Linked DNA regions of Sus scrofa. The protein of the gene in region 1 binds, or shares a complex with, the protein of each later gene. Links are inferred from orthologs where the notes say so. Each region holds a gene or a part of one and is shown in the gene's direction. Other genes may lie near its edges.

The links.
Region 2: SPTSSA (region 1) and SPTLC3 share a complex: the UniProt entries of both Homo sapiens proteins name them as parts of the serine palmitoyltransferase (SPT) complex. The link is inferred for Sus scrofa from reciprocal best matches to the Homo sapiens genes SPTSSA and SPTLC3.
Region 3: the proteins of SPTSSA (region 1) and ORMDL3 are in contact, whole or in part, in a cryo-EM structure (PDB 7CQI), measured with the Homo sapiens proteins. The link is inferred for Sus scrofa from reciprocal best matches to the Homo sapiens genes SPTSSA and ORMDL3. Residues at the interface, in NP_612145.2 of Homo sapiens: Ile44, Tyr50, Thr51, Val54, Phe55; in NP_001307730.1 of Homo sapiens: Val36, Leu38, Ser39, Ile40, Pro41, Phe42, Ser44.

What each region holds. Positions count from the first base shown.
Region 1 is NC_010449.5:65,323,000-65,326,391, forward strand, and holds the end of SPTSSA (serine palmitoyltransferase small subunit A), read left to right. Parts: intron 1-1,710; coding exon 1,711-1,814; 3' UTR 1,815-2,878; downstream 2,879-3,392. UniProt on the Homo sapiens protein: Component of the serine palmitoyltransferase multisubunit enzyme (SPT) that catalyzes the initial and rate-limiting step in sphingolipid biosynthesis by condensing L-serine and activated acyl-CoA (most commonly palmitoyl-CoA) to form long-chain bases.
Region 2 is NC_010459.5:21,845,848-21,849,493, forward strand, and holds part of SPTLC3 (serine palmitoyltransferase 3), read left to right. Parts: intron 1-1,498; coding exon 1,499-1,718; intron 1,719-3,646. UniProt on the Homo sapiens protein: Component of the serine palmitoyltransferase multisubunit enzyme (SPT) that catalyzes the initial and rate-limiting step in sphingolipid biosynthesis by condensing L-serine and activated acyl-CoA (most commonly palmitoyl-CoA) to form long-chain bases.
Region 3 is NC_010454.4:22,409,687-22,414,004, forward strand, and holds the start of ORMDL3 (ORM1-like protein 3), read left to right. Parts: upstream 1-1,443; 5' UTR 1,444-1,593; exon of another isoform or gene 1,594-1,668; intron 1,669-1,760; exon of another isoform or gene 1,761-1,782; intron 1,783-1,896; exon of another isoform or gene 1,897-2,020; intron 2,021-2,062; exon of another isoform or gene 2,063-2,142; intron 2,143-2,533; exon of another isoform or gene 2,534-2,556; intron 2,557-4,318. UniProt on the Homo sapiens protein: Plays an essential role in the homeostatic regulation of sphingolipid de novo biosynthesis by modulating the activity of the serine palmitoyltransferase (SPT) in response to ceramide levels.

The sequences.
Region 1 (3,392 bases):
GTTCTTATCCTTGGTCCCAGGAACTCTGTATGCTGTGGGGGGGCCAAATAGGGGAAAAAAAAAGAGGCTGCTATCTAGCAGGTGGGGTAGTGGAGTGGATGTTTGGGAGAAAAGAACAAATTTGATGCTAATCTTACACTTTAGGGCAGACAGGGAAGAAGAGCCAGGGAAATAGGAAAATGGTGCGAGAGAAGGGAGGAGAGCTGCGGAGAAGTACCTCAGCCCAGAGTGGAAGGAGCTTGATTAGGAGGGATGAAACTGCCTCAATTCAAATAGCCATTGGATAGGATAGGTCACCAGTGACCTGAGAGCAGTGTCCATAGCCTGGAGGGTAGAAGGCAAGTGGTTGTGTGGGTGGTAAGTGGTGACATGGAAGCTGCAAGTATGAGGTTAAAAAATGTGAATGCAAGGTGGTTTAAGAAAGAACTGAATCAAAGGAGGCTAAAAAATAAATTGTAAAAAATTATCATGGGAGACCTTTCACCCATGTCCCCTTGATGAGGGCAATGAACTTAGGGTTTCAGTCAGGCTAAGACAGCTTCCTGTACAGCTCTGGAATGTCCCTCAGTGCTCTGTCCTTTCCCAGTGAGTAACAGTCCCAATAAACATTTCACAGGGAAGCTATAAGGGTCAAGCAAGATAATATATGAAAGAGCTTTGTCAACTAAACTGTTATACAAATATTAGTTGGTAGTAAAGTGCATTGTTTATTTAAACCCTATCTTCTCGTAAAGGAATGTAAGGTATTGTGGAACTACTGGCTCAAAGAGCCGGGAGGTGGGGGAGGGGGAGGGAGCATGTGAATGAATGAGTGAGACACAGTCCCAGTTCAGAAGCTGCATTTCCCCTTAGAATGGCTGTGTGACTCTGCAAGGCCAAAAAAAAAAAAAAAAAAAAAAAAAAAAAAGCCTTAGATTTTTACATAACTCTTGTTAGCAGGGTTTTGTGTGGCCCACAAGGAGGACTCCTTGTTGATTTTGCCCAACAGTTTCAGTTCCTTTTGGAATGCAGAAAAGGGAACGCCGCAGAGAATGTTTATTGTTTAGGTTATCAAGATAACTCTGATGTTGTTGCAAAGTTTCGTGATAATAGTAATAAACATTTAATAGTAACAGGTGCTATCAGGTTATGTCACTAGTATGTGATTGATCTTACCTTTGACTCTAAAGCTAGTATTTTAGCCACATTCTAGTCCAAATAATTCCAAAATGCCTAGGTCAGGCATTCTTATTATTCAAGTCAATAGGTCTCTGAGAATGGTGTCAGACATAGTTAAGGTTAGTGGCCGTAAGTATAGTTATTGGTTCTTTATAAATACTTGACATGTTTGGAAAAGTGTCAAGTGAATGGGTACTTCCACATAAAGCAGTTCTTGGGATTTCCCATTGTGGCTCAGTGGTAATGAGCCCAACTAGTATTTATGAGGATGTGGGTTTGATCCCTAGTCTCACTCAGTGGGTTAAGCATCCAGTGTTGCTGTGAGCTGTGGTGTAGGTTGCAGACAAGGCTTGGGTCTGGGCATTGGTGCAGCTGCGGTGTAGGCTGGCTCTGATTCCATCTCTAGCCTGGGAACTTCCATATGCCACAGGTGCGGCCCTAAAAAGCAACCAAACCAAACCCAAAAAACAGTTCTCAAGAAAATTGGGGGATTTAGTTCTGAATAAATTAAGAGAAAGCAAATTAAATGAAGTTTCCTTAACAACAACTCAGATTCCATGCTGGTTTCCATCGTGGGGATGGCCCTGTACACAGGATATGTCTTCATGCCTCAGCACATCATGGCGATACTGCACTACTTTGAAATTGTACAATGACCAGGATGTGACCGGAATCAAGAGGTTCCTTAGGGAAGAGCCACCGTCTGAAGTTGGAATGAGACCTCATTCAAATGTCGTAAGAAACTCTTCTAGATGTCAACATAATCAATCCTACAAATATAAAGACTAAAATTCATGAGTAGAACAGGAAAGCAATCCTGACTCATGTGTTGTGTTCTTTATTTTTAATTTTAAAAAGGAGCTCTTGTATAGTAGTTTTTGTCTATTTTAACATTGTAGTCATTTGTACTTTGATATCAGTATTTTCTTAACCTTTGTGACTGTTTCAATATTACCCTGTGAAAGCTTTTCTTAATGTAACAACTTTGAGTACATTTTAATTGCCTTCTATTTCTAAAACCCAAAGTCATTAGTTGGGCTCTACCGTTCTTTCTTGCTATTGTACGGCAAACATATCTGCCTGGATATATTTCTACTCTTGACCAAAGTTTTGTAAGAAAAATTCAAGATTTTGGGCAGGGGGCTGGGGAGGGAGGATATTTTACTGAGAACTATTTACAAAAGACTTATCTGTAAGTTTGAACTCAGGAGTACAGTTTTAGCTATCTAGACTCTACTCTTTAACAGCTTTTGCTTTAAAACTATTAAAGTGTTTCTTAACAATGAAAAAGAAAGATCTTGCTAAAGTTAAAATAAGGAACATTTCACCTTTTAAATATTTAATTCTTGTGTGGACTCATTTCCAGAAAATTTTGGTGATGATTCTTGTGACAAATGATGGTTAAGTAGCATTATTATGTAATGCTTAGTACTGTAGAGTTTTTAATAGAAGGTAAATCAGTTTCCTCTGAGCACCATTAATAACTGCGAACTTCCTTAAATTTAGTTCCATGATTGTAATGGGTGCTGCAAATGCGTTTGCACATTGCATATGATGAGATGAATTGTTGATAAAAAATTATAGCAAAAAGAAACGTAAACTTGGTTAAAATTCTTCCATGCTTTGTATTGTTTTTTTTAAAAGATTTTTATTCCTTAAATGTAAAATGACTACCTGATTTTTTGATGTAAACTCATTAAATTCAAAGAGAGAAAAATCAGCTGATGTTGCACTACGTTGTTTTTTTTACCCCCCTCAATAGTTAAATATTGATGTAATAGTAGTTCTATTTCTGAATCAATTGCTATGGGAAAATACGCAGTAATTAGTAAGTATATCTTTCTTTTTTTTTTGGCCGCCCCATAGCATATGGAGTTCTTGGACCAGGGATCAGATCCGAGCCTCAGTTGCCACCTAAGCCACACCTGAGGCAATGCTGGATCCTTAACCCACTGTGCTGGGCAGGTATTGAACCTGCGTCCAGGGCTTCCAAAACACTGGCATTCCCATTGTGGTACAGTGGGAACTCCTGCAGTAAGTATATCTTAACATGTCTCTCAATATAAAAGTATTGCTTATTTTATTTTATTTTATTTATTATTTATTTATTTATTTATTCTTTTTGATCTCTTTGTCTTTTAGGGCATATGGAGGTTCAATCGGAACTGTAGCCACTGGCCTATGCCAGAGCCACAGCAATGCGGGATCCAAGCTGCGTCTTCAATCTACACCAC
Region 2 (3,646 bases), on another chromosome or scaffold:
ATCCAATACCCGTTGGTCTGGGTAACTACATACCAGCAGGACTGTTTGACTAAATCAGCCTAAGGCTCAAGTTATTTTTAATACATTAAAGTGACTAAGTAAACTAATTAAGAAGAAGGGAGAAGTTCAACTCTCTGTTTGCATCGATTGACTAGTTCATGAACTAAATTGACAGGTGGCTCGAATTGTTTGACAAGGTCCTTTGTGGCATGAGAGTGTGAGTCTGTGTGTTTTCCTAGAACTTGCCTGTCAGTGCAGTCAAAACTATGTGCCATGTAAATGCAGCTTACAGAGTGTTCTGAGAACTGATTCAAGATAAAAGGTCTCTTAAATCCCTTGGGTTCCAGAGGTGCCACGTCAATCTGAATGTTAATCTTCCTTGCTTATTTACTTCCTGTTTTTCCCTCTGTTGGAGGACTTGAAGAGTTTTTTGCAAATTACAAAACCATGGACATTTACGATAATACCATGAAAAATTAAGCATTTCTGGCTAAATCAAAAGTTGATCTATAGCAGTGGTTCTCAACCAGCAGTGCTGGAATCTCCTGGGAGCTTGGTAGAAATGCAGATTCTCAGCCCACCTCAGACCTAATAAATCAGAAACCCTGGGGGCGGGGCTTAGCAATATGTGTGTTAACAAATCTTTCAAGAGATTCTGTTGCTCACTCAAGATTGGGAACCATTGCCCTAAAGGAAAAGAAAGGACACCATGAGGTGCCTTAAGTAAGCCTTTGACTTCAGTGAGGACTGAATTAAAGAGCCTTGGCTTTAATGACTACTAAGATGTCTTCAAGTTCTTTTGCATGTTTTGAATTCCTACTTTTATTTTATTTTTTATTTTTATTGCTGTGCCTGTGGCCTATGGAAGTCCTTCAGAGGAAGCTGAGGCCTATGCCACAGCCACGTCTGCTACCTATGCCACAACTTGTAGCAATGCCAGATCCTTAACACACTGAGTGAGTCCAGGGATCGAACTCGCATCCTCATGGAAACAACATCAGTTTCTTAACCTGATGAGCCACAACAGGAACTTCTGAATTCCTTCTTTTAATTTCCAGTAATTCAAGTACTGGGTTTAGGTCAAACAGAACTGGGCAAATAGGAGCAGGCTGATAAAGATGCATTAGTATAGAGCAATTTAATTAAAACTAGCAAAGTACCTAGAATCCAACATGGTGGTTTTAGTTACACTAGTCAGTTTTACCGATACAATTGATCACCAATGCCATGAGCTAATAGTTCACCCGGGAATTAGCTGTAACAACTCAAAGGGCTTAAATCCATTGGATAAAAATGACTATTCCAAGTGCAATAACACCAGAGCAGCCTGATAGAGAGGGTGGCCTCAGCACAATAAAACAAGCCTTGAGAAGAAAAGAATGGCCTGTGTCTGTCATCCCTGTCTGGTGTCTGTCTGGGCAGGCTGTCTGCAAGGGGCAGTGACCCAGAGCTGCCCCAGATGGCACACCTGCTGACAACATTTCTCCTTCTGCTCTAGCATGGAAGGTTCCATCGTGTATCTGCCCCAGATCGTGGCTCTAAAGAAGAAATACAAGGCTTACCTCTACATAGATGAAGCTCACAGTATTGGGTCCCTGGGCCCCACTGGTCGAGGTGTGGTGGAATTCTTTGGAATGGACCCCAGAGACGTCGATGTGTGCATGGGCACTTTCACCAAAAGCTTTGGAGCCTCAGGGGGCTACTTAGCTGGAAGAAAGGTAAGTATGTTATGTCTGTTTAGAACCTGAATGCCCTGGGAACGCCACCTGAGGGGCTCTCTGGTGTCCTCCAGAGTGTCTGTGCAGCTTGGCAACCCAGATCCATCAGCACAGCCTAGTGGGTGTGTTCACAGCCAAGGGAGGCCCAGGTCAAGAAGCCTGATGGTGCGAGAGGCATGGGATGCATGATGACATGATCAGAAAAAAGACAACACTGGCTGTGCACCCAGGCCAAGACTTAGTGCAAAGGAGAAGGATGGCATACTCTGCAGGGCAGCATCTAAGGAGTCATAGAATGAACATCAGTCTTGCAGACACATGGCAGGAAGGGGCAGGGCCTCTAAGAAGTCTTAGAATGAATGTCAGTTTTGTAGACACATGACAGGAAGGGGTGGGGCATCTAAGGAGACTGAATGAATATCATTCTTGTAGACACATGACTGACAGGAGAGGGCAGGGTTCTTTTTCAGAAAGAGGGAATGATGGATATATCAGGCCAAAGAAATGATGCTACGAAACTGTAAGCAGTTTGGCTTTGGTGGTGTGAAGAAAGCAAGGTGGGCAGTAGAAACAGTGGGTAAAAGTCAGAGGCTGAGGGCGTTGAGCTACACGTTGGGGGTTTTAAGAATTGTAGCAAGATCGGAAATGTCTCTTCTTTTTTTTGTGGGGGGCGGCTTTTTAGGGCCTCACCCTCGGTGTGTAGAAGTTCCCAGGCTAGGGGTAGAATCGGAACTGAAGCCACTGGCTACAGCCACACCCACAGTCAGCCAAATCAGAGCCTATCTGCAGCCTATACCACAGCTCACGGCAATGGTTGGATCCTTAACCCACTGAGTGAGGCCAGGGATGGAACCTTCGTCCTCATGGATGCTAGTCAGATTGCTTTCCACTGAGTCATGATGGGAACTCCCTGGAAATGTCTTTTTAAAAGATTTTTCTCTCCCACAAATGTGGGTAAGTTGTGGGTCAGAGCTTGTCATCCTCTAATGTCTTTTCCACCTGACTTAAGATTCTGATCTGATGGGATGAGACTAAGGAAGCGTTAGCCCCGTGCTTCTAGTGCCAGTATTACCAAGGGCACTGCCAACATAAAACAAATGCTATCACATTTAAAATGGATAAGCAACAAGGTTCTGCTCTACAGCACAGGGAACTATATCCAGTCTCTTGGGATAGAACATAATGGAAGATAGTGTGAGAAAAAGAATGTATATAGATGTATGACTAGATCATGATGCTACAGAGCAGAAATTAAACAACAATGAGTATAGTAAATCAACTATACTTTAAAAAAAATGCTTAAAAGAATTTTAAAAGAAGAGGGAAAGGAAGGAGAGAAAGAAAATGAAATTAAACCCAGGTTTGGTAGTTCCTGTTGTGATTCAGCAGGTTAAGAACCCAACTAGTATCCATGAGGATGAGGATTCGATCTCTGGATACACTCAGTGAATGAAGGATCCGGTGCTGCTGTGAGCTGTGGCATTGGTCTCGAACATGGCTCAAATCTGGTGTTGTCGTGGCTGTGCTGTAGGCTAGCAGCTGCAGTTCCAATTTGGCCCCTGAGAACTTCCAAATGCCACAGTTGTGCCCCCCTGCAAAAAAGGGGAAAAAATGGGTTTGAGGTTTTAAAAAGTCAGTTATCTGCTCCCTTATATGAAAATTTTATCCAAATCCTAATGGCTACACCTCCCACAGGCCTACACCTGTCTCAAAGAGATGATGAGGGGGTGTTGGCTCCACTCAGGGGGACTCAGAAGACCCAAAAGCAAGTGGCTCAATGATTTCCCTAAATTCCGGATTCCTTACTTGTTGTCTCCAGCAGAAACAGGAGTTCAGACTACCGGTAAATCGTAAATCGTTTAGACAAACCAGGGAGTAGAGCCGAAAGTGATCTAGTCATTGAAAGCCTATGATTTAAAGTAACAGTT
Region 3 (4,318 bases), on another chromosome or scaffold:
AGATGATGACAGAGACTCAGGCTAAATTAAGCAGAAAGTGATCCACTATTTACCATGAATGTAGTGTGTGAGTCATTTACTCTGTTCATTCCCATTGTGAAAAAACAAACAAACAAACAAACAAACAAAAAAAACTGACCTGATAACAAAAGCTGTTAATAGCGCACAGCACATCCAGCAATCTTTCTGTTAGACTATGTGTTTGTCGGCCCTTGTTTGTGAGGTGGATCCAGTCTGGGTTACTGAACTTCACAGAGAGTAAGGAAACTGGCAAAGAGCAGAGCCCTGATCAACTTCAGAGAGGCTGGAAGAATCCCAGAGAAAAGGTGAAGGAGTTAAGCAGGCTCACTTCGGGGAGGGGGGAAAGACTTTTTTTTTTTTTTTTTTTGGTCTTTTCTAGGGCCACTCCCTGGGCATATGGAGGTTCCCAGGCTCAGGGTATAATAGGAGCCGTAGCCGCCCGGCCTACATCAGAACCACAGCAACGTGGGATCCAAGCCGTGTCTGCGGCCTACACCACAGCTCACCACAATGCCGGATCCTTAACCCACTGAGCGAGGCCAGGGATCGAACCCATGTCCTCGTGGATACTAGTTGGGTTTGTTGCCGCTGAGCCACAACAGGAACTCTGTTGAGATACATTCTTTTGAATTTGCACAACCTCAGAGGTAGGTTTACACAGGTGTGGAATCAGAGATTAAGAGATGTTATTGGCCTAGGGTTATGCAGGTGGTGAGGAGTGCCTGATAAGTCTACCTGGTAAATCTGTGCCAGGAGAAACCTGTGCTTTAGCCTTTAGAGCCTGCAGATGTGAAAACTACAGACTAGAGACCCTCCCACCCCAAACCACACAGCTGACTTGGGACTGGGACTCAGGGTTGTAGTTATTCAGCAGGGAGTCTTCCCAAGTCACATGTCCTCTTCCCACATCTAATGTGGTGAAGCCCAGGATGTGGCCGGTCCCAGGCCAGCCCGGGTCAGAGGCAACTGAGCAGGAGACAGTCTGCCCACAGACTGCGTTCTCTACCCGCCAGACTCTTATCCTAAAAAACATCGTGAAAAAACCCGCTTCCAGGAGGGCCCAGCAAGGCAAACAGCTAGGCTAGTCGTTTGACGGAGGGCCAGGGCAGAGGCAGAGAGGTGGAATTGAAAATATCTGACTTGGGGTCAGAATTTCTGGGTTCGGGTCCAGCTTGGGGGCGAGCAGGGACCTATGGCAAGTTACTTAAAACTCCAAGTTTCTTCATCTGCAAAACCCGGCAAGAGTGATTTCCACAGGAGCGCGGATGCCAAGGCAGGAATTGTTATGCGCCAAGGCGATACCATCTGAACTTTGTGACGCGCACGTACTATTAAAAACCTCCGTGCGGCCCCAGCGGCCTGGGCTGGAGCAGGGGAGAAAAACTACAACTCCCAGGAGGCGTCGGGCGGGCAGGCGCTGAGCGGTGACGTAATGGGGGCCGGCGCCGGGCGCTGATTCGGCCCGAGCTGCCAGCGGGGTGGCTGCCGCCGCGGGTTATTACAGCTGCTGGAGCAGCAGCGGCCCCCGCCCCCGGGCACCCCTCCCGGGCCCTCGACGTCCGGCCCCGCACGGTGAGTCCGGAGGAGCGGCCTCCAAGTGGCTTAACCGGGAGCCTCCGGGGGCTAGCAGGCGGGACGGGAAAGAAGGTGGGGGCTGTTAAGGAGGCGTCTGGGACTGGAGGGGTCCCGGACTGGCTGAGCGGAGGTTGAGGGGGTGCATCAGCCGAGAAGGGTGCATCACTCGAAGGGATGGGGAAAAGGGCAAGTGGGGACTGGAGGCCGGGGATGGAGCGTCGAGGAGGAGCGCTCGGGCTGGGGGTGGGGGGCGGGGAGCAGCTGGGCTTTGGGGATAAAGGTTTGGCAGCTTCCAGGGCTGGGTGAACGCGGGGGGTGGGGCTCCAGGCCGGGCCAGGCTCCGAGTGAGAGGTCCCAGGCTGGGGAACGGAGCGGAGGCCCCCCATTTCGGCTTGCAGTCTCACTCAGAAAAACCCCAACAATAGTAAGGACTCCGCCTCCTCGCTTCGCCCTCTCCCCTTGCTAGTTAGGGGTTCGCTGCTGTACTCGACATCTTTCCGTTCCCACTGCCCCCCAGAGTCCCGGAGGCAGGGCCAGAGCTGAGAGGTAAGCGAGCGACGGTAGCCCTCCGGGTTAGGGGGTGGGCAGAATGAGAATGGCATTCTGGCGTGCTGCCAGGGACTCCCCGCTGGGGTCCAGGTTGCAGGCTTGGATGCTTTGTGCTCCTCACCCAGAGAAAGATTTGCTGCCCTGACTTGGGGGAGAGACTCGAAAGTGCTCACCTGGCTGCTGGCACTGTGGCCTTGGCTTAGGTGTCTGACAGGCTGGGCAGGGATATTTGTGTTCAGAGCAAGAGGGGAAGAGAGGGAAGGAGTAGGAAAGAACTACCAGCGAGAAAGTGGTTAACAGAACAGAGTTGCTGCAGGCTCTGGTTTGAGGCAGGTTATGAAACCACATCAGGGACTGACGCGAACAGCCACCTGCCAGCTATGGCAGTAGAACTTTTCAGCCTCAGCTGCTGTATGTACACTTTTCTGTCTTTGCCAGCTTCTCCCCACTTCTCCCGTCTGGGCTGGGGGAAGTTGGTTATTTCACTAATGGAAGTGATATGTAGCCTTAGTCACACAGAAGCCTCAAGAGTGCTTCTTGCTGCCTGTCATTTTCTTAGTTTATTGACCTCATCTGTCTGTTGGGGGTGGGGGGGGGCGTCTCCTGGGGTATTCTGCTTTCAGGGCATCTAGTGTTTCAGGCTGCAGAAAGAAGCTTCCCTGGGAATCGGTTAAGTCATAGGTCTGAGTCCTTCCTAGAGTCATCAGGCTTTGTTGGATGCCCTGTTACAGCCAGGAAGGAGTATGGGATGATCTGGGACTCAGCAAGGCTCTTGGCGCTCCTGGGCAAAATACCAGGGAGGGCTAGAGGTCTTGCTCGCTACTTTAACAGCCTTGTAGGTCAAGGTTAGGGAGAAGTGGGGGAGGGCAGCGGTTTCTGGTCAGACTCAGGGAACTCTTTCTCTCTCCTTAGTCAGTAGTTAAGTCCTCAGAGCCCTTACTTCTTAGCGAGTTTCCCCCTCTTCCCCCCCCCAACATTCCACCTGGTGGAAGCATTTGCATGGTAGGTGTCCCAAGAGCTGTGTTAGGGTAACTGAAGCCCTAAGCCCTGGGGAGGTAAACAACCGAGCCAGTCCTGGTTTTCTAGTTCCTTGGGTTTCTGTGAGGCCCAATTATCCAGCTTAATGGGTTGAGCTGATGGGCCGCAGGAGCATCACTGCTGCTAGGGTGTGTCCTAGCTGTCGTTTGTCTGTTTGTATGCTGGCAAGGTGTGTTGTGGGTCATGTTTCCCCTGGGGTCTCTAAGTTTGGAGCCGCCTAAGAAGAGAACATCGTTCCCATTATCCCGGAAGTAGGGAACCGATCCTTGAGAATTCCAGCTCCCATGCAGGCTCTTTGATCCCAGCCAGAGATTGAGGGCAGCTGAGCCTGCGGGTGGGTCTGTTGGTTGCAGCAGGGTGAGGGGGGTGGCCTTCTGGGTGCTTCCAGGATCCCCCCATCTGTATCCCCAGGAAAGATGAGGCTGTTACCATGGCAGTGACCTTAGGGTCTTTATCAGGTAGGATCTTCCCTCAGCTAGGGAGGTGAGCCAGTACAAACGTGCCACCTGTTCAAACCTCCTGCTGGTCACAGGGATCCGGGGACAGCTGAGCTCTGGACAAGGGGCTGCTCGTTCCCCTTCTTACCTGCATCCAGGAATGCAGCTGGGCTGCATTGTTTCCTGGGCATCAGGGGCAGCCCTCCTGATTCCTCCTGCTGCAGGGCTTCTGCCCTTGGAGCTGGGCAGGGGAAGGCATGGTGCTAACTCACACCTGGAAACAGGTGCTGGGCAAGGAGGCCAAGGCGAGGACGGGTGGGCAGTGAGGAAAGGGGGTAGGAGCGAGGCCACAGGTGTGGTTTTGTGTCCCTGGGAGAGCTGTGTTGACGTGGGCCCCAGCCACCCGTGGGAGCTGGAGCCATTGGCCGCGTTCTCCCTCCTTGCGTCTCCTCTGGTGGAGAAAAGCGCCCTGCTGGTGTGGCAGCCAAGTGGGTGTCATCACGAGGGTTAGCTGAGTGGCTGCCAAATGGGTAAAACATCTGGACGGGTTGTTTTCATATGACCAAGAAGACGGCTTCCAGGTCTAGGCAAAGGTTGTCTCTAGTCTGTTTTCTCTTTTTCTCTTTCTTTCTACCCACCAGTCCTGCTGGGTCATGACGGGGGGAGACCCAGGATAGGAGCGTTAGGGAAGATGGGCA